7 linked regions of the Macaca mulatta genome follow. The protein of the gene in region 4 interacts with the protein of the main gene of each other region in a pairwise test. Links are inferred from orthologs where the notes say so. Each region holds a gene or a part of one and is shown on either strand. Other genes may lie near its edges.

Region 1 (3,500 bases), on a different chromosome or scaffold from region 4:
CACTGTGGGCAAAGTAAAACTGATCCTACAGCTCTGTAACTTCATAAAATAGAGCCTGGATATGGGAGTTGTCGCTTCTACTTGTTGGGAAGGGGACTCCTGTTGGCAAGTTAAGGCAGCTTAAGGTTTAACAAGAGAAAAGAACTGTTAAATAATCTTTAGTCATGTAAAGTTGTGTCCTGGAGGCTGAGGTAGAAATTCCTGTGGGCTGATAGCCAGAACAATTCATTTACTTCATACAACCCCTTGTAGCTTAAACTCACAACCCTCTCTGGGCCCCATCCATTGGCCTTGGTGTCTATTTCTGATCATCCAGAAAATGAGAACATTGTATTTTAGGAGAGGCACCAGGGTGGTGGTGAAGTATCTGGGCGCAAGACCAGTGGAAGATATGGTTGGAAAGGCAGGTAAAATATTTGATTCAGGTTTTAGGTGTATTTTATCAAATGGCCATACCATTGTTTAGCTTATAATCATTTGTCTCTTTACCTTTGATTGAGTCTATCCTTATTAGAATAAATGTACCTACAGTTGGAGAAAACCAGAAATAGAAAGATTCTTTGTGTACACATTTCATATTTTTGCTTATCCTTTCAACACACACAAACACACAAATACACCCCCCACCGCCCCCCGACACACACATATCAGGGCTAGTATCTTTTCCTTTTGATCTCTTCTTACTGTACCTTGACATTCAATAACTGCTATCTGTTTGAATCTCTCGTTGAAATCATAATTTTGGACTTTCAGAAATTCTTTGAATTGGGAGGTCCCACTAAAAGCCAATCACTCCACAGGTTCCCTTCTTTGAGTGGACATGAAGAAATTGGGGAATGTGCTATTTTTTTTTTTACCGTGTGTTTTTCCTTGAATCGGTAATGGTAAAATCTGAAATAAAGGGTGGGGAGGATGTACGGAGGTCTGAGTTCTCAGAATGAAACCCTCAACAGCACCTGTTTCTTAAATAGTGGTGAAAGTGAAAAAAAGGCAGTGGGACTGGTAATGAGTGAGGTGAGTAGGAAGGAACAGGCGGGCCCAACTCTCACAGGCGGTAGGCCTCAAGCCTCTGATCTCACTTCTTTGTCTAAGCCTGTTTTCCCATAGTCAGAGGCCCTTTCTTGCTCAGTAGGACATCAAGAATAAGATTCAAACTGATTTTTCTGTAGAAATAGAAAATATTGGTGCAGAAGCCTAACTCTAGGGGTCTCTTCCACGACAGGCAGGGGTAGTTACCTGCCACCGCCTATCCCTTCCTCTTGGGGAGCAGGCATCTGGGTACATGGCTTGTACTGAGAGAACAATAGTGAGCTTAGAGAGGCCCCTGACCTCTAAACGTGGTTTTAAAAAAATATCTTCGGCTGGGTGCGGTGGCTAACACCTGTAATCTCAGCACTTTGGGAGGCCAAGGCAGTTGGATTGCTTGAGCTCAGGAGTTCAAGACCAGCCTGGGCAATGTGGCGAAACCCTGTCTCTACAACAACAACAGAAAATAGCTGGGCAAGGTGGCCTGTGCCTGTAGTTCCAGCTACTCAGGAGGCTGAGGTGGGAGGATCGCTTGAGGCCAAGAGATTGAGGCTGCAGTGAGCCTTGATCGCACCACTGCATTTCAGCCTGGGCCACAGAGTGAGACCCTGTCTCAAAAGAAAGAAAAGTTTTTTTTTAAATAAAAATAAAAAATATCTTAGAGCAAGTGCTGGACCCCCCTCAGCAACTGAAAGTGATTGACCCATTTTTCCTTCTTGCTTCTCTTACAGTAGCCATCCCTGCCATTGGGGCCCAGTATTCCATGTTTCCAGCAGCTCCAGCCCCTAAAATGATTGAAGATGGCAAAATCCACACAGTGGAGCACATGATCAGCCCCATTGCTGTGCAGCCAGACCCAGCCAGTGCTGCTGCCGCCGCAGCTGCCGCAGCCGCAGCCGCAGCCGCCGTCATTCCCACCGTGTCGACGCCACCGCCTTTCCAGGTAGAGTTCTGATTGCAGTCGTTGTTATTTGCGTGTGAAGCCTCTCTTTATCCTGGATTCATTTAGTATTCAGCACTGAGAATTTACTGTGTGCCTGGCTCTCTGTTACAGCTATGCGATTGGGTGACACAAAGCATTTTGAATTTGAATCATGACAGAAAAAAATAATTGTAATTAATTGTACTACCCTAATAATATCATTGTTAAGGGTGGGAATCAATATGTAAAAATGATGTGTAATTTTTCACAGTGTCATAATATTGTGCATATATGTTTTTTAAATAGCACTGAATAATTTTTAGCTCATGATGTTAAAGAGCTGACGCACAAAGTCCAGGGAACGATTTCGCATTTTCACATTTCACACTGAGGCTCCATGAAGATTTCTTTAAAAAATGTTAACCCAGTGGGTGGGTGTATGTGTGTGTGTGTGTGTGCGCGCGCGTGTGTGTGTAAAGAGAGAGAGAGAGAAAGAACATCTGTATAGATATGTAAAATTTTATGCTGGGTAGAGTGGCTCATGCCTGTAATCCCAGCACATAGGGAGGTCAAGATAGGACGATCACTTGAGGCCAGGAGTTCAGGACCAGCTTGGGCAACATGGTGAGACAGTGTCTCTCCAAATATATATATTTTTTAAATTAGCCTGGCATGGTGGCATATGCCTGTAGTCCCAGCTACTGGAGAGGCTGAGGCAGGAGGACCGCTTGACCAGCCTTGAGGTCAAGGCTGTAGTGAGCTGTGATTGCACCGCTGCACTCCAACCTGGGCAACAGAATGAGACCCTGTCTCAAAAAAATTTTTACAAAATATGTCCATAATCCTCTCCTCCAACCATATCTCCCACTGTTCCCCTATCTGTTCCCAAACTCATCTTACCATGTTGGCCTCCTTCCCCACATTTGTTCATACTGTATCCTGGTTTCTTTATTCTCATCTCTTCCATAGAATCTTCCCCATCCACCTCCTAGAGAAATGTTCTCTCCTGTACTCCTCATTACTACATCATTACTTGGCCTGTGGCTGCCAATGTGTTCTATCTTCCAAGGAAAATGAAGCTCCTCTAAACCAAAGACTGTGTCTTGTTTCTTTGCATCTTCACCTCATAGGACATAGGGAGGACATCCATTTAACAGAAGAAAATCTTGTTAAAGCTGTTCTCTGTGAGGCAGTGAATCGCAAATACTAATCACAAGTACTCAGGCCCAAGATCCCTTACCCAGCTGAAAAAGAATTATCCAGGTCACTTCTTTTCATTTTTGATTTTTGATTTTTTTGAGACAGAGTCTCACTCTGTCACCCAGGCTGGAGTGCATGGCTCACTGCAACCTCAACCTCCCTGGTTAAAGCAATCCTCCCACCTCAGCCTCCCAAGAAGTTGGGACCACAGACGCACACCACCATGCCCGGCTAACTTTTTTATATGTAGGGACAAAGTCTTGCTATGTTGCCCAAACTGGTATTGAACTCCTGGGCTCAAGCAGTCCTCCCACCTCAACCTCCCAAAGTGTGGGATTACAGGCCTACATTT
Region 2 (3,989 bases), on a different chromosome or scaffold from region 4:
CTCTACTAAAAATACAAATTAGCCAGTAGTCCCTGTAGTCCCAGCTACTCGGGAGGCTGAGGCGGGAGGATCACTTGAGCCGGGGAAGTCGAGGCTGCAGTGAGCTGTGATCGCACCACTGCATTCCGGCCTGGGTGACGGGAGTGAGACCCTGACTCAAAAATAAATACATAAATAAATAAAAATTAACTATCGTCTCTGGCCCCAGACCATAGGTGTCCCTGCAGCAGGGGCCTCCTGGCGTGCTCTCCACTCGGGAACCTCTAGGAGGTACTAAGTAAATCTTTGAGCGAAGACCTGAGTCCCTGTCTGGCTGCGACTATGTCCTCCCAGGCCTTCCCACGTGGCAGTTGCAGGCTCCTTTCCTCTTGGCTCAGTCTGAGCCAGTCAGGGTGATCCCTTCCTCATCCACCCCGTCTCCCCGTTTCCCTTTATTACGGTGCTTGACACTATCTAATATTATTTAGTTGCTTGAATGTGCGCGTCCAGCTCCCAGGACGCCCCCTGCACACAGTGAATGAATGAATGAATGAAATAAAGCGCCCAGCGCGTAGTAAGGGCCAATGAATATCTATTAGTAGTGGGACCTCGGATTGGGTGGCCCCAGCCCTGCCTCCCTTCCCCCAGGAGGCGCCGAGGTCCCAGAGCAGCCCGCGCTACCCTGCCCCTGACCTTTCTCCCTGGGTCAGTTAAAGCGGCCGTCTTTCCCGCCTGCCGGGTTCATTTGAAAACCGAAAACCCCGCCATTGCCGGCGGTCCATCGGTTGCTGAGCTCTGACCAATCAGGAACAACGCATTTCACGCCGAGCTCGAAATTTCCCCGGCGACGCGCAGCCATTGGTTATGCAGGCCCTGCGGGAGGAACGCCGTAAGGTCGCGCGCCGGGCAACGCGGATTCGCTACACAGTAGCGAGTTTGTAAGAAAACAAATCCGCGGCGTTCGGGGCGTGGCCGGGAGCACGTTGGCTCCGCCCCCTGGCTGCTGCCTCGGCGGCGGCGGCGGCGCAGGCTCAGAGCAGACCCCGCCCGGCAAGGAGGAGGGAGGGTGAGTTAGGGGGAGACCCGGCCCCCAAGGGGCGGGCGCCGGGCAGGGCCCCGCCGGCGGCCGAGGGTTGGGCCCAGCTCCCAGCCCCTCGCCTGCCTCCGGCTGACAGGGGGAGGAGCCCGCTGGGAGGGCCGGGGTCTTGGGCTGGGGAGCCGGGCCGGGAGTGCAGAGCAGCCGGGCGCACCGCGGCCGCGTCCCGGGAGGGCTGCTCGGGCCAGCGCCCGCCGGTTGCTCCGTGCTGACAGCGCCGGGTTGGGGCGGGGCGGGGGTCTTCGCAGGCCGTCAGTGTCGACATGCTGCTGGAGGAGGTCCGCTCCGGCGACCGGCTGAGTGGGGCCGCGGCCCGGGGCGACGTGCAGGAGGTGCGCCGCCTTCTGCACCGCGAGCTGGTGCATCCCGACGCCCTCAACCGCTTCGGCAAGACGGCGCTGCAGGTGAGGCCGGGCCGGCCCAGGTCGGGGGCGGGGTGGCTCGGCGGGGTGAGGATCGAGACCCCAGAGCCCCTCTCCTCTGGTCTCCTGGCCCTGGTGGTGACCCACTGGAAACCGGTCCTTCTTCTCTAGGCTTTCATTGTTCCCCCACGGTCCCCTTTCGAAGGTGGGTGGTGGGTGAGGCTAGGTTGTGGGGGGAGGGGAGAGCTTTTTAGCATCTTCTCTGGGAGGATTCCTGGTTCTCTGAGTGCGGAAGATTCACTTTCCCTGGGGAGGTTCTTATTCCGTGGGTGCGGGTTCAGCTCCTTTGGATACCGTTTCCATGGGGACGGCTCACGTTTCTTGGGGCTTCTATGGGGAGATCCGATCTCTGGAAGGAGAGGTCCTGTCTCCAGGGGTTCCTCATTTTGTAGGGGGCTCTCTGAGACATATCTGGTTACTTGGGGGTGGGGTCTTCATTCCTAAAGATTATGCGGATCCTAGCTATAGTGTGGGGGCCCCAGTGGAGGAACAGTGTCAGATCGCAAGACATCCTTATATTCCCTGGGAGAGTTTAGAGAGGAGTCTCTTTTCTCTTCTTTTATTATTGCTTTTGGAATCCCGCTTCCTGAAGGGAGCTCTCAGGTACTCTGAGGTGACATCACCATTATACAGGAGGAGGCTAATTCCTGGAGAAGGGGGTGGGGTTCGCTTTCCTTTGACATCTCTTTTCCCTTATGAGGACTATCAATTCTTTGGGGGTAGTTCTCCATCTCTGGGGGCCCATTTCCTGGAGGGGATTTTATATTTCCTGGTGATTGCCCATATCTGGGGGCGTCTTTGGTCCCTTGCGGGAGAGTCTTAGGTTCCTTGAAAGTTTCCATGGGGGCTGTTCTCTGGGTTGGGGGGTCTCATTCTTAAGGGAGTGACCAGCTTTTGGGGGGGGTCCCTATTCCCAGGAGAACTTTTTCTCTGCATCTCAAACAGTCCCCTGGGGGCTTATGCAGCTTCTCCGTTCACTAGAGGATCCCTCCTCTGGCATTTCCTGTTCCGGGGAGATGCCTCTTTCTGGATGACCCTTCTCTCTCCAGTAACCCCTTTTTTTTTAATTAATTAATTAATTTATTTATTTTTTTTGAGACAGAGTCTCGCTTAGTCGCCCAGGCTGGAGTGCAATGGCGCGATCTCGGCTCACTGCAAACTCCGCCTCCCGGGTTCACGCCATTCTCCTGCCTCAGCCTCCCGAGTAGCTGGGACTACAGGCGCCCGCCGCCTCGCCCGGCTAATTTTTTGCATTTTTAGTAGAGACGGGGTTTCACCGTGTTAGCCAGGATGGTCTCGATCTCCTGACCTCGTGATCCGCCCGCCTCGGCCTCCCAAAGTGCTGGGATTACAGGCGTGAGCCACCGCGCCCGGCCAGTAACCCCTTTTTTGGAAACCCCTCCCTTGAGGACCTCCTGATCCTCTGTCCCTCACACAGGTCATGATGTTTGGCAGCACCGCCATCGCCCTGGAGTTGCTGAAGCAAGGTGCCAGCCCCAATGTCCAGGACACCTCCGGCACCAGTCCAGTCCATGACGCAGCCCGCACTGGATTCCTGGACACCCTGAAGGTCCTAGTGGAGCACGGGGCTGATGTCAACGCGCCTGATGGCACCGGGGCACTTCCTATCCATCTGGCGGTGCAAGAGGGTCACACTGCTGTGGTCAGCTTTCTGGCGGCTGAATCTGATCTCCATCGCAGGGACGCCAGGGGTCTCACACCCCTGGAACTGGCACTGCAGAGAGGGGCTCAGGACCTCGTGGACATCCTGCAGGGGCACATGGTGGCCCCGCTGTGATCTGGGGTCACTCTATCCAGGAAGAGAACCCCGTGGGGTTATGTATCAGAAGAGAGGGGAAGAAACACTTTCTCTTCTTGTTTCTCCTGCCTGCTGCCGCAGTAGGGGAGGAGCACCAGTTTGTGGCTTATAGGTGTTGGTTTTTGGGGTGTGTGGGTATTTGGGGGACGTTTCTCATTTGTTTTTCTCACTCCTTTTGGTGTGTTGGACAGAGAAGGGCTCCTGCAGGCCACAGCCACCTAAACGGTTCAGTTTTTTCTGCGCCCCAGGCTGTTGGGGCCTCAGACAAGACCCAAGGGCAGAGCGTTTAAGAGTGAAATCACCTCCAGGGAGCGTAGAACCTGGTGACCTTGGCTGGCTGTGCTCAGAGACCTGAAGTGTGCACGTTGCTTCGGGCACAGGGGGTGGGGGGAGAGTCCCAAATCAGTAAGAAGGTAGAATGAGTTATTCATATTCTGTTGGAAGCTTGTTTTCCAGTCTCTTGTACAGCGTTTTAAAAGAAATGGATTCTATTTATTATGCTTTATTGGAAAAAAATGTTGTAATAATTTAATGTTTTTACCCATTAAATTAAGACTTGTGCATGATCACAGCGCGGGTGGCTTCAGATTTTTGAGTCTGGGATGGAGAGTTACACATCCCGGATGTTGATGGGGATGAGGACGGGGGTCGGGGATCGTGGATGCGGTGGGTG
Region 3 (2,840 bases), on a different chromosome or scaffold from region 4:
TTAAAGTAAATTTATTGCTTAATAAATCCAAACAGCAAGTCACATCACTTACTCTGGCGTACACTTTGCAAAACAAATATTTTTAGATAATATATATAGCAAGAAATTACACTAATGCAAGGAGGAAGTTTTGGGGGTACTTTAAAGATTTCTTTTCCTTTATAGCTGGAGTGGATGTTTGACTAATCTAATCAGAGATCTGACTAGTTATTTGTGTATTAAGAGTTAACAGATTTTTTTTTTCTGGTCGTGCACGGTGGGCTCAGTAATCCCAGCACTTTGGGAGGCTGAAGCGGGCGGATCACTTGAGGTCAGGAGTTCAAGACCAGCCTGGCCAACATGGTGAAACTCCATCTCTACTAAAAATTAAAAAATGAGCCAGTGTGGTGGCGCACGCCTGTAATCCCAGCTACTCAAGAGAACTGCTTGAACCTGGGAGGTAGATATTGCAGTGAACCAAGAGACCGCACCACTGCACTGCTGCCTGGATGACAGAGCAAGACTGTCTCAAAAAAAAAAAAAAAACAAACAAAAAAACCAAACCAGTTAACAGACTTTTTTTTCCTAAGGAAAATCTTCTGCGTTTGGATACTCGCTTGGCTTACCTCACAGGGGAAATGGGGTACTTTTCCATTCGGTTATATGACCAAGGCAGGCTCCTCAACTAAGATGTTAACCCCACTCTGGCTTGTCTGACAGTAAAGCATAAAGCATTACATGTAACTGACAATAAAGAATAGGGGTACAATCCCGAGCTCGAGAATTGCTTGAAAGATGGGCAACATTACCTACTCACTGGCTTGGATTCTCTAAAAATCTACCTCTATCAAGCTAGACAGGTAGAGACTGCTTTTACTGAACTATACTTTGGTGTGATGCTATGAAACGATACTGAGAAATAATAATAATAAAACAAAAAGCCCAGTGAATCTCAGAGTTTAACTAAAGGATGCTATTGAGGGACACTGCTTACTACATTACAAAGTCTTTGGGGATCTTTGGAAAATTTTTCTTTTTAGCACAAGGGATACTTAAAATACTGCTTTCATCCTTTTAAATGCTTTACCTGAAGGTTTGAAATTTACTCATTTAATATACACACACCCTCTTTTAAAAACTTAAAAGCCTTCTTAATCTTCCATCCAAAACTGGGGAGAAACAATCTTTCAGTTGTGCTATGTACAATTAGTACACTTTAAATAACAAATTGAACACTCACATGGGGGCCACCAGGCATCGGTGGAGCACCAGAAGGTCCTGAAGGCACTTGGAAAGGATTACTGGGAGTAGGATAGAGTCCTGGTGTGGGATACGATCCTGTAGGGGCAGGATATGGTGCTGGTGGTCCCCAGGCTCCTGGTGGAACGGTGCCCCATGGAACAGGTGGTGCTGCCCCAGGGGCTTGGGGAGGAGGAGGAGCGGGATATGGCCCTGGAGATGGATATGGCATATTAGGGGTAGGATACTGCCCTCCCATTCCTGGTGCCCAAGGTCCAGAAGACATGGATCCCCATGGACCTAAAGGACCAGCTGCAGCTGGATCTGTGGGTGCACCATATGGTCTGGGTAGCTCTGGAAAGGGCATATTTGGTGTAGGATATGGCCCTGTGGGGCCAGGGCCTGGCACTGTTGGGGCTGGGTAAGGACCACCGGGTGGGGGGCATGATGGTCCAGAAGGAGGAAAGGGTGCTGGGGGTCCTGGAGGTGGTCCGGTGGGAGGCACGGAGGGATACATTCCTGTTGGTGCTGGTCCAAAAGGCACAGTGGAGGGCGTTGCACTTGGTGGGAGTCCAGATGGCACCGAAGGTGGAGCACTCGGATTATTCCAAGGGCTGGAGCCTGGCCAGCCTTGAGGAGGTTGGCCAGGTTTTGTATTGCTCACAGCAGAGGTTTTGGCAGGGGAGTGTTCAGGTAGTGCATCTGCCAACTGGAACACAAAACAGATAACATCTTATCTATCTTATCAAGAGAAAAGTTATACCAAACACCATTATAAACCCACAAAGAACAGTAACCTACAGGGCCAGGGATTATAAACCTCAAGAACATCTTCAAAAGCTAAGCTAGTCATTTAAAACGTACTCGATTTAACATAAAACTTGAGGTGTTAACTTTGAATATCAACTTTACAGTGCAAGTTCTTCAGAGAAGCTCGTTTTCTAAATACAACTAATCATATTGTGCTTCATTTCTCTGCTGTATTAATATAACAAAGTACAGTAATTAAGAAGATAGAACTAACAGTCAAGGTATGGATTTGAATCCTGGCTTAACCTCAAAGGAGCTACATACTCTGAGATAGAGCTTCTTCAGTTTCAAAAACTATTTTAGGGTTAATTTGAGGCTTAAATATGATAGTTCATGTAGTACACTTAACACAGTGCCTGGTATATAATAATTTCCAATAAATGTTGGCTACTAATACTATCAGGGTAAAAGAGAATAGAAGTAACATCTTAAATTTTCATTTAAGGATTCATAAAGAAATATAGGAAACATTTCCAAACATGCTATTATCTCCATGTTTGGCAAATCACCAAGGCAAATCACCTATCAAAATCCCTCTCCTACCCCCAAAGCCAAGAATCACAAAAAGCATCTCTTTTATTTATTTATAAACAGAGTCTCACTCTATCGCCCAGGCAGTAGTGCAATGGCACGATCATGGCTCACTGCAGCCTGGAAATCGTGGGGTCAAGGGATCCTCCCAAGGAGCTAGGACTACAGGTGCACACCATCGCGCCTGGTTAAAGCATCTCTTTTAAGTGAAAAGATTTACGAAGGCCAGTTAGGACCACGTTGTTTTTCTTAAGAGATGAAAAACTTATCACAGATAAACT
Region 4 (3,500 bases):
CTCTTCTCAAAGTATGTTGAGATCAGGGACTCTGGGTTTGCTTACAAAAGCTGTGCCCTGCACAGGGTCACCCAGCAAAAGAAGCCTGTGGAGGTTGGAAACAGCCTTTCCCTCGGGGCTGTGCCCACCAGAGAGGCTGCTTTGTCCTGCTTTTGCACAAAGATGCTTTATGTACATGCTGCAGCCCTGATTGGCTTCCTGGGAAGGACCTCCTCCTTGCAGGCCCACTCTACCCCAGTTCCAGCTCCACTTACCCATCAAGTGGTGCCTCTCCACAGCAGGGTCAGCCTCGGGCTTGGAACAGATCTTGGCAAACACTGGGAGCTGCCTCTTCTGAGCAGGGAGCTCAGGGAGCTTGTCAGGGGGTGCAGGAGGAGGTGGGGGAGGCAGCAGCAGAAATGGGCTCAGCCCTGTGGGCTCCTTGGCTTCAGGGCCTCCGAACAGGTTGTCCTGTAGGAAGTCCTTGGTGACTCTTGTCTCGTTCAGCACCCTCTTGTTGTCGGGGGCCTTGGATGTCTCAATGGACTTCAGTGGGAACTGGGACAGAAGCTTGCTGACCTCCAAGTTGGAGTCACCCAGGATGTGGCCCCTGTCCTCTGTCCCCTTGCTGCTCTTGACCTTGGCGGCACGCAGAATGTCTGTGACAGTAGACGTGGCAGAATCACAGTCCTGCCTGCTGCTGATAATGGGCATGGCCACCTTCTGCTTCAGAAGCTTGTCTCCGACAATCATGGAGGCTCTGGGGCGCTCATTACTGCCTGCCGCTAGAGGAGGGGTAAGAATGCAGGAAGCCAGCTCTCTGGTCCCCTCAGGAGAGCTGCCTGGTGCCTCCAGCTCCCCAGAACTCTCTTCGACCAAGATTGAGTGCTCTTTAGTGAGGCTCAGGAACTCCTGTTCCACCAACAAGGAGATCTCATCTTTGCCACTGCTGAGCTCCAGAGCTCTGGAAATGGGTCAGAGAGACAGACGGTGTTAGTGCCAGCTCACCAAGGCATGGCTCTGCAGAAGGACATAGGCCCCAGAAAACGGAGATGGATGCATAACATGACAAAAACACACTTCCAGGTAAGAGAACCCAGCGCACACAGTGGACCCCTAGAGGGTCCTATACCACAGTGGTGGGATGCAGTACTGAGAACATGGTTTTGAAAAATGGGGAAACCTGGATCCTCTCCCAACAACCTTGCTGAGTGAGCTGGGGCAAGTCACAGCCTCACTGAGCCTTAATTCTAGTCCATTCCTCCTTGTTCTTCATGCTCAGGACCTGAAGCAATGAAAGACCAGAGAAGGGGTTCACTGGCAAATTTTACCCAGCAGCCAAGGTGTCAGGAGCAAGCCAACAGCTCTAAGTGCAGAGTCTAGGGTGCTGGGGCTGAGCCCTGGGAAGCCCACAGGAGCGTAGCGCAGCCCCCATCACCTCACTGCAGAATGGTGGAGTGGATAGCCTGAGCTTACACCCTGACCCAGTCACTTCCCATCGGTATGACCCTGGGGAGATTGTTCAGCATCTTGGTATTCTGTCTCCTCCTCTCATTACTAGGAGTATCATAGAGGTGCAAAGCACTTTGAATGGTGTCTGGCATAGAGTAAGGGCGATTCAAAGGTCAGCTGTCATGTTTACACCACTGTCAACCTTGGTTGGTCCCTGCTCCTGGATCTCATACAGTAGTGTCTTGGATACTCATGTTCACTCTGGCATGGCCTCTGACCCAATCACAGCCTGTGGACTGGGTCTCACTTCATGGGCAGCACCAGCAGTTGGGAGATCCCTGCACTGATTCACTGGGGTCTTCCTGAAACTAAATATTGGCCTCAACCTGCACCTTGGACCCTGGGTCCTCCACTACACCCTTGCTGGTCAGCACCTGTCTGATAGCACCTGATGGTCTCCTGGATCCTAGGCTCCTCATTGCCACTTCTCTCCAGGTGTAGAAAGGATTGCAATCCTACTGGCCTGGCTGGTGGTCCCTGATAGCACCTGATGGTCTCCTGGATCCTAGGCTCCTCATTGCCACTTCTCTCCAGGTGTAGAAAGGATTGCAATCCTACTGGCCTGGCTGAAGGCCCCGCACAGGCACCTTCCTTCCTAGTGCTCCCAGGAGGTCAAGAGCCACCAACCTAGAACCATCTGCTGTCCTCACTCAAGGGGCTCCTATGAGAGGTGGATGATGTGGCCCACACCAAGTATTCTGGAAACGGCTCGGCCTTCTATCATGGGAGCGCTGAAGGAGAAGATGATGAAGAAGACCCAAGAGAAAAAATCGAGGAGCCCCATAGGGGAGCTCAGCTGCTGTGGCTTAGGCTTTGCAGTCTGGAGGCCCAGCACACGATCCAGCTCTGGCCAGCCTCTCAGAGGGCATGATGAGTCTCCAAAACGGTGACCATGGAATGCTTCCAGCAGGGTCCATGCCTTCCTGGTAATGCTCATTGTGTACAAGCACACACACACACATACACACAAACAGAAACAGGCAGGCACACAATTCACATGTCACCAAACACAGACCCAGGGGAGTAGTCACTGCATTTAACAGTCAATCAGAGTGGACACAGTCTACAGTCTTAGAGGCTTCCTGCTGTGCCAGACAGGAAACCTTTAGTCGCTGGGTCCTGATGAGTCCTGAGGCAAAGACTTGGCGGTTCACAGTGCTTGGGGAGCTTGGGGAAGAGCTATGTACTAAAGACATGGGAATGTACCAATAGTCCAGCAGCCAAGATAGTCGTACTTCTTGAACATTAGCCTCTCTACCCCCACATGGAACCTTACCAGGCTTGGAGGCAGAGAGTAATGCCTGCAAAAAGTAGACTCCAGACAAACAGACCTGGGTTTGAATCCAGGCACCACTGCTCTTTTCATGTCAGACCCTGGAACCTCAGTGTCTTCCCCTGTAAAACGGGTGTGGCACCTAACATCACCTGCCTCATGGGATGGTTGGGGGCATTCAGTGAGGTCACTCGTATGTGAGCTCAGCACAGTGCTGTGCACAGGAAACATTCAGTCAGTGTCGGCTGTGAGCATTAGCTAGTGTGAGCTGGTCCTGGCCAGCTCCTGGAGGGCCACTGGAGCTGTGTGTGCAGCAATGTCACTCTCTATTATTTTCTCTTTCCCTCCACTCTCTCTTCTGTCCCCTTTCCCTGACTTGTCACCTATTCCCTTCCTCTGCCTCCTTCCCATGTCTAGACTTAGGCCTATAAATAGGCCTCACTTCCCCGGCTGTGTCCCCCTGAGAACAATCAGAAAAAAGGGGCTGCCAATCCGAGGTCTCAAGTTTTAGATCCCCCTCCTCTTCCTCCTCTTCACCATCCGCCTCAAAAGGAACAGGTGTCTCAAGTCACAGAAGTCAGACATTTGAAGGACTAGTTTTTGACTCCCCTCTCCAAATACTTTGCAAAGCAAGCCACACATCAATAGCTTCACTGAATTAGAAAGACACAGTACAATTATGTTAATTTTTTAAAATTGTGATAATGGTATTGTGGTTATACCTAACAACAACAAA
Region 5 (3,500 bases), on a different chromosome or scaffold from region 4:
TCTAAGAAAAACTGAATGCCTTTTATTTCAGTTAACAGGAAATGAAATCAATGCTAGAATAAGAATTGTTACTAGATATTTGAATACAAATTAATTCCAACTATTCTCTGGTAGAATAATCATAGCTGAATTTTGTAGCTCCACTTCTTCAGTGACAAAGGGACAGTCAAGAAAAGTAAGCATTAAGAGAGATAGTCTGTTCGCTTCTAAAAATGAAAGGTTAAAAAGTCTGTGACTACTTGCTATTACAGTAAATTATTTCCTTGCTGGACTTTATCTGTGGTTTTGAAAAAGGTATAAGCATACAGGAGGGAGCCCTAGCAGTTACCGTAAAGCTATGGCTGCCTTATAACAACCGTTTCCAAAGTTCATGCTGCAGCTAATGGGCTTCAGTAACCTAAAATAACTTGGCCATACACATATTTATATTTATTGATAACTTATTTTTAAAAACATGCTAAGCTATTGTAATATAAATGAATTCCCAAATTGAACATTTTTGCCAGCCATCAGTATTTTCCACAGATACAGAAAACCTTTTTAAAAATAAATATTTTATAAGAAATAATTTTTCTTACTTTATTTTTAGTGAAACAATCATATACTTGTTTAAGACTCATTGTTTTGGCAAATACACTAAGTGTAACATTTCTCTTGTGCAGGAAAAAAGAAATTCCACCCAAATTGTAACAGATTGATTATATGGAAATAGTGAGTTATAAATGTCAAATATCACACCTAATGGTATAAGGAAAGTTTTTTTTTGTCCAAAATAACTCTCCCTATAATTTCTAATATGTAAAATAGAGTCTTGGAAATCCTTCCATATATCCATTTGAAAGTAAGAGTATTCCACTTACAGTATCTATGCATGCCTTTCTTGTAGGTGTTTACTCATGCGGGGTGGGGGGCACTGCACATCATCTCATGAACTATGCTTCCTTGGAAGAGTGGAATAGCTGATTACATGATGTAAATATATTACTTTTTAAAAAACTTTTATTTTAGGTTCGGGGTACACGTGCAGATTTGTTATAAAGATAAATCGTCATGGGGGTTTGTTGTACAGATTATTTAGGCACCCAGGTACTAAGTCTAGTACTGAGTAGTTATTTTTTTCTGCTTAAATATATTATTTTTAAGATGCTTTATTTTGACAAGGACACAGGAGTTTTCTGGTAATCAAATCCTAAACTCTAACATAGAAAGTGCTTTGCAAAGAATAGACGCCTAGGAGGTTGCTCAGGAATCTGAGATAAGAGTTGGGATAAAGAAATAGTATTTCATAAAACTAAGTTTTTAAAGAATTGAGTCTCTTTTGAAAATTATAATCATTCATTATTTTGGCTATTGGAGTATAGGCAAGAAAGTATAATTAGTTCTGGTATGGAAGAGTGTGGAGCTATGAGACAGAAAACGAGGCTTCTAGTCTCACTCTGTCACTATGTGGCTGGCTAGGAGCCTACAGCAAGTCAATGAGGCTCAATTTCCTTGTATTTGACATTGAACAAACAGTTTTTATACTTTATGTAACCTACATGTTGGTTCGAAAGATTCTTTATAAGAAGGAAATTTGAAATCTATTAATCATTATGCAAATATGTTATGATTTTATAGCTGCACAAATAAACAATTTCTGAGAAATAAAGACTTCTAATGAAAAAATACACTTTACTGCATGCATAAATAGGTACCTTAAAGTCAATTCCTCCTACAAAGATGCGATTAGGGATCACTGTTCCATATCTTGGGGCACTTGTTGGGTTATTCAAAGGCACAGGCGACACAGGATTAGGGGATGGAGATAATGAATCTGTTTGCATCTGGTTTGATGTTTGCTGTAAAATAAAATTCTTTTACACTTTTTGCACTGGGTATAATGCAGTCTGCTTTTGATGCAGACTGAAAATGTATATCTTTAAAAAAGATGAGTCATTTAGGTAAAATATAGTATTCTAGGCTTTACTTTTAATATTATAAAAATTATAATTAGAGCTAAGAGCTTTTTAGAGCAACAGAACTAGGAAACACAGAATCTACTCCATTATAGAGATTTTAAATATTAAGTACATTACTTAAAATGCTTATATTATTATCAAACCGATTACTTAATTGTTAAGGGGAATATTAAACTCATGAAGATGTTTGAGAAAGAGAAAAACAGTCCCAGCCTGACACAATCAGCTGGGCCCTGGTGTTGTTAGGAGTCGGCCTGGCACTCACGGCTAGGCTGTGGTGTTCTCTCATTAACAGAATACCAACATCAGACAAAGTCACCCTGTGACTCTGATGGATTAAGATTAAAAACAAGACCACTCCACAATCATGTTTGAAGGCTGACTAAAAAAAACGCATTGCCCAAATCCAATAATAACCAAACATCCCTCCATTCTGGCTGATATGAGTGACTGCCCCTTCTTTATTAGTTATAGTTTTGGCCTCGATCCATTTTTCTTTCCTTTTAGATAAAAGTTAACACATCCAATCATAGAATTACTACCATTTCCTGACGATATACATTCCAGAGTAAAGCCCTGCTTCCTTAAACCCTCTCTAAAAATTGCTCAACACAAGCCTATATCCTATGAGTTCTAACACCTTCTGATTGAGAGGCCCCATGGTTTCTGTTTTCCTTTGTTTGAACGATTAACAGACCCAACTTCACTAAATGACGCTTGTGTTCCTGGTGGTCTTTAACTAATGGTCATTGATAAGTTAATAAACTGTAACATTCACATTCACCATTTTCAGCCTGAAGGTCAAAATTTTAAATGCACTTGTCATTTTGAAGATTGGACTGATTTTGTTAAAAATTATATACTTATAGCTCATAAATGTTTATTCCAAAGAATTAGCTCAGTACATAGCCATATGTTCACAACGATAAGTTAGAGGATCTAATTTAAATTTTAATAAACATATATAAATGTATAAGCCTTTGCAGAATGGTAAAATAATAGACTTTTAAGGTATAACTGAAAGAAAACCAGGACTTGAGAATCATGTAGAAGAGAAACCAATTCAAGAACTGGTGAATTATTTTCCATCTGGAAACACTAAACACACTTCTGAGACAGTCTAATATCCTAAATGTGTGCTTCAAAAAACTTGAAGTAAACTGGGTGTTGTGGCTTGTGCCTGTAATCCCAGTTGCTTGGGAGGCTGAGGCAGGAGGATTGCTTGAGGTCAGGAGTTCAACCCCAGCCTGGGCAACAAAGCGAGACCCCGTCTCAAAAAGAAAGAAAAAGAAAATAACAAATCTTGAAGTTCATAATTCAAATTCTCTGAGAAACAAACACATGAAAATGAATTTCCAGTTCAGGTAATAGAGTTGTTCTTTTTCAAATTTGTGTTCTTTCTTCTCTGGTCAATACAATCACAATCCCTCAATTAATCTTTGCAAGATGTACAGAGAAATGACTAGGGCAGGAGTGGCAATTGGGCTATAGGCTGGACCTTATGGGCTCTCTTCTCCATCCAGCCTTAAGGAAGTACATACT
Region 6 (3,956 bases), on a different chromosome or scaffold from region 4:
GGCTGGGACTCTAGGATAGGGTTGGGGGGTGCTAGAAGGGAGGCCAAGGCTGGGGCACAGGGCAGGGAATCACTCCCATTTCCTCCCTCCCAGCTGATCCTGCACTCCATGCACAAGTACCAACCCCGCATACACCTAGTTCGGGCAGCTCAGCTCTGCAGCCAGCACTGGGGGGGCATGGCTTCCTTTCGCTTTCCGGAGACCACATTCATCTCCGTGACGGCCTACCAGAACCCACGGGTGAGTGCCCCTGCTTGAGGGGGTGGTGGCGCCCTGCCCAGTCCACAGTTGCTTTGACCCTGGATGTGTGTCCCCAGATCACACAACTGAAGATTGCAGCCAATCCCTTTGCCAAAGGCTTCCGGGAGAACGGCAGAAACTGTAAGAGGTGGGAGTTGTTCATTCATTCGTTCATGCATTCAACAAATGTTTATTAATCACTCACTGTGTGCCAGGCACCGTGCTGGACATCAGGAATACAGTGGTAAGTAAAAACATTCATTCACTGACTCAGCAAATACTTATATAGTACCTGCTATGTGCCAGGGACAGTTCCAGGCACTGGAGATAAATCAAACAAAGTAAACCAAAGCCCCAGCCCTGATGGAACTGATTTCTAGTGGGGACAGCAGACAAGCAGACAAGAGAAATAAATAAAATGCCATCTGTTAGGAAGCCATTCTAAAGAGAAGAGAGACCAGGTGCGGTGGCTTGCTTCTGTAATCCCAGCACTCTGGGAGGCTGAGGCGGGCAGATCACCTGAGGTCAGAAGTTTGAGACCAGCCTGCCAACACAGTGAAACCCTGTTTCTACTAAAAATACAAAAATTAGCCAAGCATGGTGGCACGCGCCTGTAATCCCAACTACTCGGGAGGCTGAGGCAGGAGAATCTCCTGAACCCAGGAGGTGGAGGTTGCAGTGAGTCGAGATCGTGCCATTGCATTCCAGCCTAGGCAACAAGAGTAAAACTTCGTATCAAAAAAGAAAGAAAGAAAGAAAACTCTGTCACAAAAAAAAAAAAAAGGAAAAAAGGAGAAGAGAAATAAACAGGAAAGGATAGGAAGGACTGGGGTGAGCTATTAGATAAGAGGCCTGAAAAGGCCTCGGCAGGAAGAAGACACTTGAGAAAGAGCTGAAGGAAGTATGGGAGGGAGCCGGGTGGGCATCTGGCAAAGCACACTAGGGAGTGGGAACAGCACGTGCAAAGGCCCTGAGGTGGGGCTGTGCCTGTGGCGTGGCTGCAGTGGAGTGAGTAGGAGTCAGGCAGGGGAGGGGAAGCCAGGTTATCTTGGACAGTAAAGGTTCCATAAGGCCGTGGGAACTGTTCCAAGTGTAGCCCCTCGGAGCTGGCCCCTGCCCTCAAGGAGCTTCCAGTTTGTCAGAAGAGACAGACATGAACCAAGGAGTCACTCCATCAAATGCAAAAGCATTTGCATTTAACTGTCTCATAACTGTGACAGATGTTATGAGGGAGGGGTGTGTGCTCTCGGAGATCAGGGAGGACTTCCTTGAGGAACTTGCGCTAGCACTAAGGCAAGGATAGGTTTGGTGGCTCATGCCTGTAGTCACAGCACTTTAGGAGGCTGAGATGGAAAGATCACTTGAGCCCAGGAGTCGGAGGATGCAGTGAGCTGTGACCATGTCACTGCACTCCAGACTGCACTCCAGCCTGGGCAACATAGCAAGACTGCATCTCAAATTTTAAAAATGAAAAGAAAAAGGGGCCGGGCGAGGTGGCTCAAGCCTGTAATCCCAGCACTTTGGGAGGCCGAGACGGGCGGATCACGAGGTCAGGAGATCGAGACCATCCTGGCTAACACAGTGAAACCCCGTCTCTACTAAAAATACAAAAACTTAGCCGGGCGAGGTGGCAGGCGCCTGTAGTCCCAGCTACTCGGGAGGCTGAGGCAGGAGAATGGCGTGAACCCGGGAGGCGGAGCTTGCAGTGAGCTGAGATCCAGCCACTGCACTCCAGCCTGGGTGACAGAGCGAGACTCCGTCTCAAAAAAAAAAAAAAAAAAGAAAAGAAAAAGGATGGGTTCAGCAGGTGAAGAGGGGACAGAAGAGGATTCCAGAGAGAGGCTCAGAGTGGAGATGGGGCAGAAGGATGAGCTAGGTGAGACCGTGCCCTGGCCTTGCCTCTGGGAAGGAGTTTCCATTGATACTAAACACAATAGTAAAGCATGGACAAGCTTGAGCAGGGACAAAATTCCAGCTCTGCCACTTTCTAGTTATTTAATTTTCTGGCCTTCAGTTTCATCTGTAAAATGGGTATAATGATGGCCCCTACCCGACAGGGTCCCTGGGAGGGTGAAATGCCTGGCACTGGGTAAGTACTGTTATTACCATCACCATGGCCATCACCGTCATCATCATCACCACCACCACTGTTTCCCAGGGAGCGAGATGCCCGTGTGAAGAGGAAACTGCGGGGCCCAGAGCCAGCAGCCACAGAGGCCTATGGGAGCGGAGGTGAGTATAGTCCCAATGGCGATGGGGCCAGGCCTGAGACACGGATCCTCCCTAGCCCAACCTCTCCCTTCCCTCTCCCCGGACGCACCAGGTGGTCCCTGCGACTCCACTCTGGGTGGAGACATTCATGAATCAGACCCAGAACAGGCCTCAGCCCCCGGGGAAGTCACCACTGCCCTGGCACCTCCGTGTGGTGGCCCCAGTGCCGAGGCTTACCTCATGCATCCTGCGGCTTTCCACGGGGCCCCCAGTCACCTTCCCACCAGGTGAGTGGGACAGGGGACCAGGCGGGGCTGCGGGACCCTCGGCACTGCTCTGACATCCTTCTCTCCCATGTCAGGAGCCCCAGCTTCCCGGAGGCTCCAGACTCTGGGCGCTCAGGCCCCTACTCGGCTGCATTTCTGGAGCTGCCACCCGGGCCAGGGGGCTCCGGGTACCCAGCGGCTCCACCCGCGGCACCCTTTGCCCCGCACTTTCTCCAAGGGGGCCCCTTCCCTTTACCATACCCCGGGCCTGGGGGCTATCTGGATGTGGGCTCCAAACCCATGTACTGAGCCATTGCTGGGCCCCTCTGCCTCCATCACAAACCTCCTGCTCCCTTCCCCCAGCCCTGGAGCCCCCTCACCTCCACCAGCCCCATCCCCCACACCAAATGGCTGCCTTGGGCCTGCCCACCCCCCCCCACAACTTCACACCTTGATTTCACTCCCACCCCGCTCTGGCTTCAAAGCCCAACCAAGGCTGCTGGGAGTCCAGCTGGGGCCGGCTTCCCCTTCCCGGCTCTCACCTCCGTGTGAATGGAAGGGGCTCTGCCTGGCCAAATGGGGCTACAGACCAGTATCCCCACCTACCGGGTCCCCCTGTGAGCCCTTGGGGGGGCTCAATCCCCACCCCCACACCACTAGTGCAGGCCACACCAGTCTGTTGTTCTGGGACCAGAGTATTTTTGTTAATAAAACTCAAAAGCCATCCATGCTCAGGAAACACTGAAGCTCCTGTGTTTGGCCCTGGGCGGGGCTGGGTGAGCAAAGGCTTTGCTGGGAGACCCAGACCCAGATCTAAACCTGTGTTTCCAGCTGCCTGACCTAGCACGAAATCTACCAGCTCTCTAGGCCCATCTCTTCAGGAAAGTGGAGAAATCAGAATCTCGTGATGCTGTTAATAAGGCTGCATGAGAACAGAGCCCTCTCCCTAGCACTGGGGAAGCCAGCGGGCAGCGGCCCCTGGAGGCCCTGGGCAAGCTGACTGGCCTGAGCCTGGCCATCCTGGCAGGTCGGGGCCCTGAAGCAGTCAAGGCCCTGAGGTCCACCCCAGGTCCCAGGCCAGCAACCCTATGCATTCCCAACCAAGTCTGGCAAAAACCCAAAGACCATTTTTCTTCTTTTATTAGAATTTTTTTTTTCTTTTTTTTTCTCAAAATTTTTATCTAAAAACAAACAGAAAAAAGAAGGAAAAAAAGAAAAAAAAATTATTGGAAACTTCAT
Region 7 (2,191 bases), on a different chromosome or scaffold from region 4:
AAGTTACAAAGCCTAATGGCAGGTCTGGAACTAGAACCTGGGCCTCCTGACTTGTGCCCTGCTCTTTCCACTAAATCTCGATGCCTCAGGTTCGACCCAAACCAGAAGGCAATGGGGCACATGTCGCCATGTTGTCCAGGCTGGTCTCAAACTCTTGAGCTCATGCAGTCCACCAGCCTCAGCCTCCCAAAGTGCTAGGATTACAAGCGTGGGCCACCACGCCCGGCCACTCAGTCTTTAAAAGGAAGGAAATTCTGACACATGCTACCAAGTGGATGAACCTTCAGGATATTATGCTAAGTGAAATACGCCAGTCACAAAAAGTAAATACCATATGATTCCATGTATATGAGGTTCCTAGAGTAGTCAAAAAGCATAGATACAGAAAGTAGACTGGTGGTTGTCAGGGGCTGGGAAAGGGAGAAATGAGTTATTTTTAATGGGTACAGAGTTTCAGTTTTATAAGGTGAAGAGTTATAGAGATGGATGGTAGCGATGGTTGTATAACGTCATGAATGTATTTAACACCACCGAACTGTATACCTTAAAATAGTTAAGGTAGTAAATTTTATGTTATATGTATTTTACCACAATAAGAGAAGTTGGAAAAAAATATATAGCTGCTAAAAATTACATTTGTAAAAAATATATTTTAAAACATAGGAAATGGACTCAGATGGTATTTTTTGTGTTGTTGTTTTGGTTTGTTTTTGAGATGAGGTTTTGCTCTGTTGCCCAGGCTGGAGTGCAGTGGCATTATCACAGCTCACTGCAGCCTCGACCTCCCAGGCTCAAGCAATTTTCCTGCCACCGAGGCCACCTAGTTTTTCTATTTTTTGTAGAGGTGGGGTTTTTCCATGTTGCCCAGGCTAGTCTCGAACTCCTGGGCTCAAGTGATCCACCAGCCTTGGCTTCTTAAAGTGCTGGGATTACAGGCATAAACCACTGCACCTGGCCCATTTTTTTTTTTTCTCATGAGGTTAGTTTAGTTAGAAAGCTGGTTAAGAGTGGGCTCACACGTGTAATACCAGCACTTTGGGAGGCTGAGGCGGGTGGATTGCTTGAGCCCGGGAGGTCGAGCTGCAGCGAGCTGTGATTGTGCCCCCGCACTCCAGCTTGGGCAACAGAATAAAACCCTATCTCAAAAAAAAAAAAAAAAAAAAGAAAGTTGACTAAAAGTATAAGTAAATATGTAGAAAAAGTATTGTATGGAGATATGTAAAAATATCAATATGGTTTCTGTGGATATGGAGATTGATGACAAATTTGAATCTTATATTTATTTTTTATCTTTTCTATGAGAAGCATGCAGACTTTAAAAAAACTACCTCATAAGCAGAAAAAGTTACTTCAATAGCAAAAAGATCCATTTATATGAAGTTCTGGAAAAGGCCAAACTATTGGGATGGAAAACAGATCAGTGGTTGCCTGGGCCTGGGGGACCTTTTGGTGGGGTCACAAGACTGGATACAACTATATCCATTAGTCAAACTTCAGACAAGGAGAAAGGTACTCTATGTAAATTATACCTCAATAAACCTTTCTAAAAAGAAAAAATGTAGGAAAACAAAACAAAACAAAACAACAAAAAAACAACAAGACAATTCCTGATTCCCGTAGCTATTTATGGTGCAAAGCTGTAGCTGACCCAGGGAAGCTGGAATATGTCCCTTTCCTAAAGGGCCACTTTGGGGTTCAGAAGCTGACATTTAAGGGAAATAAAGAGCTAGCAATAACTAGAAATCAAGTTCATTGGCCAAGTCTGCTTCCTCACCACCACTGCCATGCCAAGGTCCCGGGCCAGGGTCTTCAGCTCTCGGGCCAGCTGCATCATCAAGGCCAAGCCTGCAGGACGAGGAGAAGCAGAGAGGCAGGGCAGTGGAAAACCAGGGACGGGACTGGCCAGAGACCAGACTCCAGAGCTGGGAGGCGAGGTCACGTTCCACTGGCCCCAGGCTCTGCCACATCACTCACCTTCCCTCTGCTGACCTCCCAGAAGTGGGGAGACCACCGCAGTGACCGAGTCCACCACCACCACCTTCATAGTCCCTGAAGAACCAGTCACCTAAAGGAATGTGGGGGAAGCACTCATGAACCTGTTGGCCTCTAGGACACATTACAGGACAAGCTTGCTTTTCTATCTAAAACTAGTAAGAAATAGCCCCCCTCATCCCAAATACAGCAGGCTGCA

Evidence for each region.
Region 1: the proteins of C1H1orf94 (region 4) and RBM47 interact in binary tests that used the Homo sapiens proteins (3 or more experiments, as listed by UniProt). The two-hybrid records come from large-scale screens. The link is inferred for Macaca mulatta from reciprocal best matches to the Homo sapiens genes C1orf94 and RBM47.
Region 2: the proteins of C1H1orf94 (region 4) and CDKN2D interact in binary tests that used the Homo sapiens proteins (3 or more experiments, as listed by UniProt). The two-hybrid records come from large-scale screens. The link is inferred for Macaca mulatta from reciprocal best matches to the Homo sapiens genes C1orf94 and CDKN2D.
Region 3: the proteins of C1H1orf94 (region 4) and MAPK1IP1L interact in binary tests that used the Homo sapiens proteins (3 or more experiments, as listed by UniProt). The two-hybrid records come from large-scale screens. The link is inferred for Macaca mulatta from reciprocal best matches to the Homo sapiens genes C1orf94 and MAPK1IP1L.
Region 5: the proteins of C1H1orf94 (region 4) and BOLL interact in binary tests that used the Homo sapiens proteins (3 or more experiments, as listed by UniProt). The two-hybrid records come from large-scale screens. The link is inferred for Macaca mulatta from reciprocal best matches to the Homo sapiens genes C1orf94 and BOLL.
Region 6: the proteins of C1H1orf94 (region 4) and TBX6 interact in binary tests that used the Homo sapiens proteins (3 or more experiments, as listed by UniProt). The link is inferred for Macaca mulatta from reciprocal best matches to the Homo sapiens genes C1orf94 and TBX6.
Region 7: the proteins of C1H1orf94 (region 4) and RAD51D interact in binary tests that used the Homo sapiens proteins (3 or more experiments, as listed by UniProt). The two-hybrid records come from large-scale screens. The link is inferred for Macaca mulatta from reciprocal best matches to the Homo sapiens genes C1orf94 and RAD51D.

The regions. Positions count from the first base shown.
Region 1 is NC_133410.1:39,671,728-39,675,227, reverse strand, and holds part of RBM47 (RNA-binding protein 47), read left to right. Parts: intron 1-1,757; coding exon 1,758-1,969; intron 1,970-3,500. UniProt on the Homo sapiens protein: Single-stranded RNA-binding protein that functions in a variety of RNA processes, including alternative splicing, RNA stabilization, and RNA editing. Functions as an enzyme-substrate adapter for the cytidine deaminase APOBEC1.
Region 2 is NC_133424.1:11,288,104-11,292,092, reverse strand, and holds CDKN2D (cyclin-dependent kinase 4 inhibitor D), read left to right. Parts: upstream 1-1,189; 5' UTR 1,190-1,338; coding exon 1,339-1,479; intron 1,480-2,935; coding exon 2,936-3,295; 3' UTR 3,296-3,832; downstream 3,833-3,989. UniProt on the Homo sapiens protein: Interacts strongly with CDK4 and CDK6 and inhibits them.
Region 3 is NC_133412.1:128,193,152-128,195,991, reverse strand, and holds part of MAPK1IP1L (MAPK-interacting and spindle-stabilizing protein-like), read right to left. Parts: intron 1,928-2,840; coding exon 1,220-1,927; intron 1-1,219.
Region 4 is NC_133406.1:206,643,400-206,646,899, forward strand, and holds part of C1H1orf94 (uncharacterized protein C1orf94 homolog), read right to left. Parts: intron 944-3,500; coding exon 255-943; intron 1-254.
Region 5 is NC_133417.1:102,698,872-102,702,371, forward strand, and holds part of BOLL (protein boule-like), read right to left. Parts: intron 1,839-3,500; coding exon 1,695-1,838; intron 1-1,694. UniProt on the Homo sapiens protein: Probable RNA-binding protein, which may be required during spermatogenesis. May act by binding to the 3'-UTR of mRNAs and regulating their translation.
Region 6 is NC_133425.1:28,475,351-28,479,306, forward strand, and holds the end of TBX6 (T-box transcription factor TBX6), read left to right. Parts: intron 1-93; coding exon 94-240; intron 241-317; coding exon 318-388; intron 389-2,398; coding exon 2,399-2,472; intron 2,473-2,527; coding exon of another isoform or gene 2,528-2,563; coding exon 2,564-2,738; intron 2,739-2,812; coding exon 2,813-3,026; 3' UTR 3,027-3,456; downstream 3,457-3,956. UniProt on the Homo sapiens protein: T-box transcription factor that plays an essential role in the determination of the fate of axial stem cells: neural vs mesodermal. Acts in part by down-regulating, a specific enhancer (N1) of SOX2, to inhibit neural development.
Region 7 is NC_133421.1:44,622,762-44,624,952, forward strand, and holds part of RAD51D (DNA repair protein RAD51 homolog 4), read right to left. Parts: intron 2,066-2,191; coding exon 1,975-2,065; intron 1,846-1,974; coding exon 1,775-1,845; intron 1-1,774. UniProt on the Homo sapiens protein: Involved in the homologous recombination repair (HRR) pathway of double-stranded DNA breaks arising during DNA replication or induced by DNA-damaging agents. Bind to single-stranded DNA (ssDNA) and has DNA-dependent ATPase activity.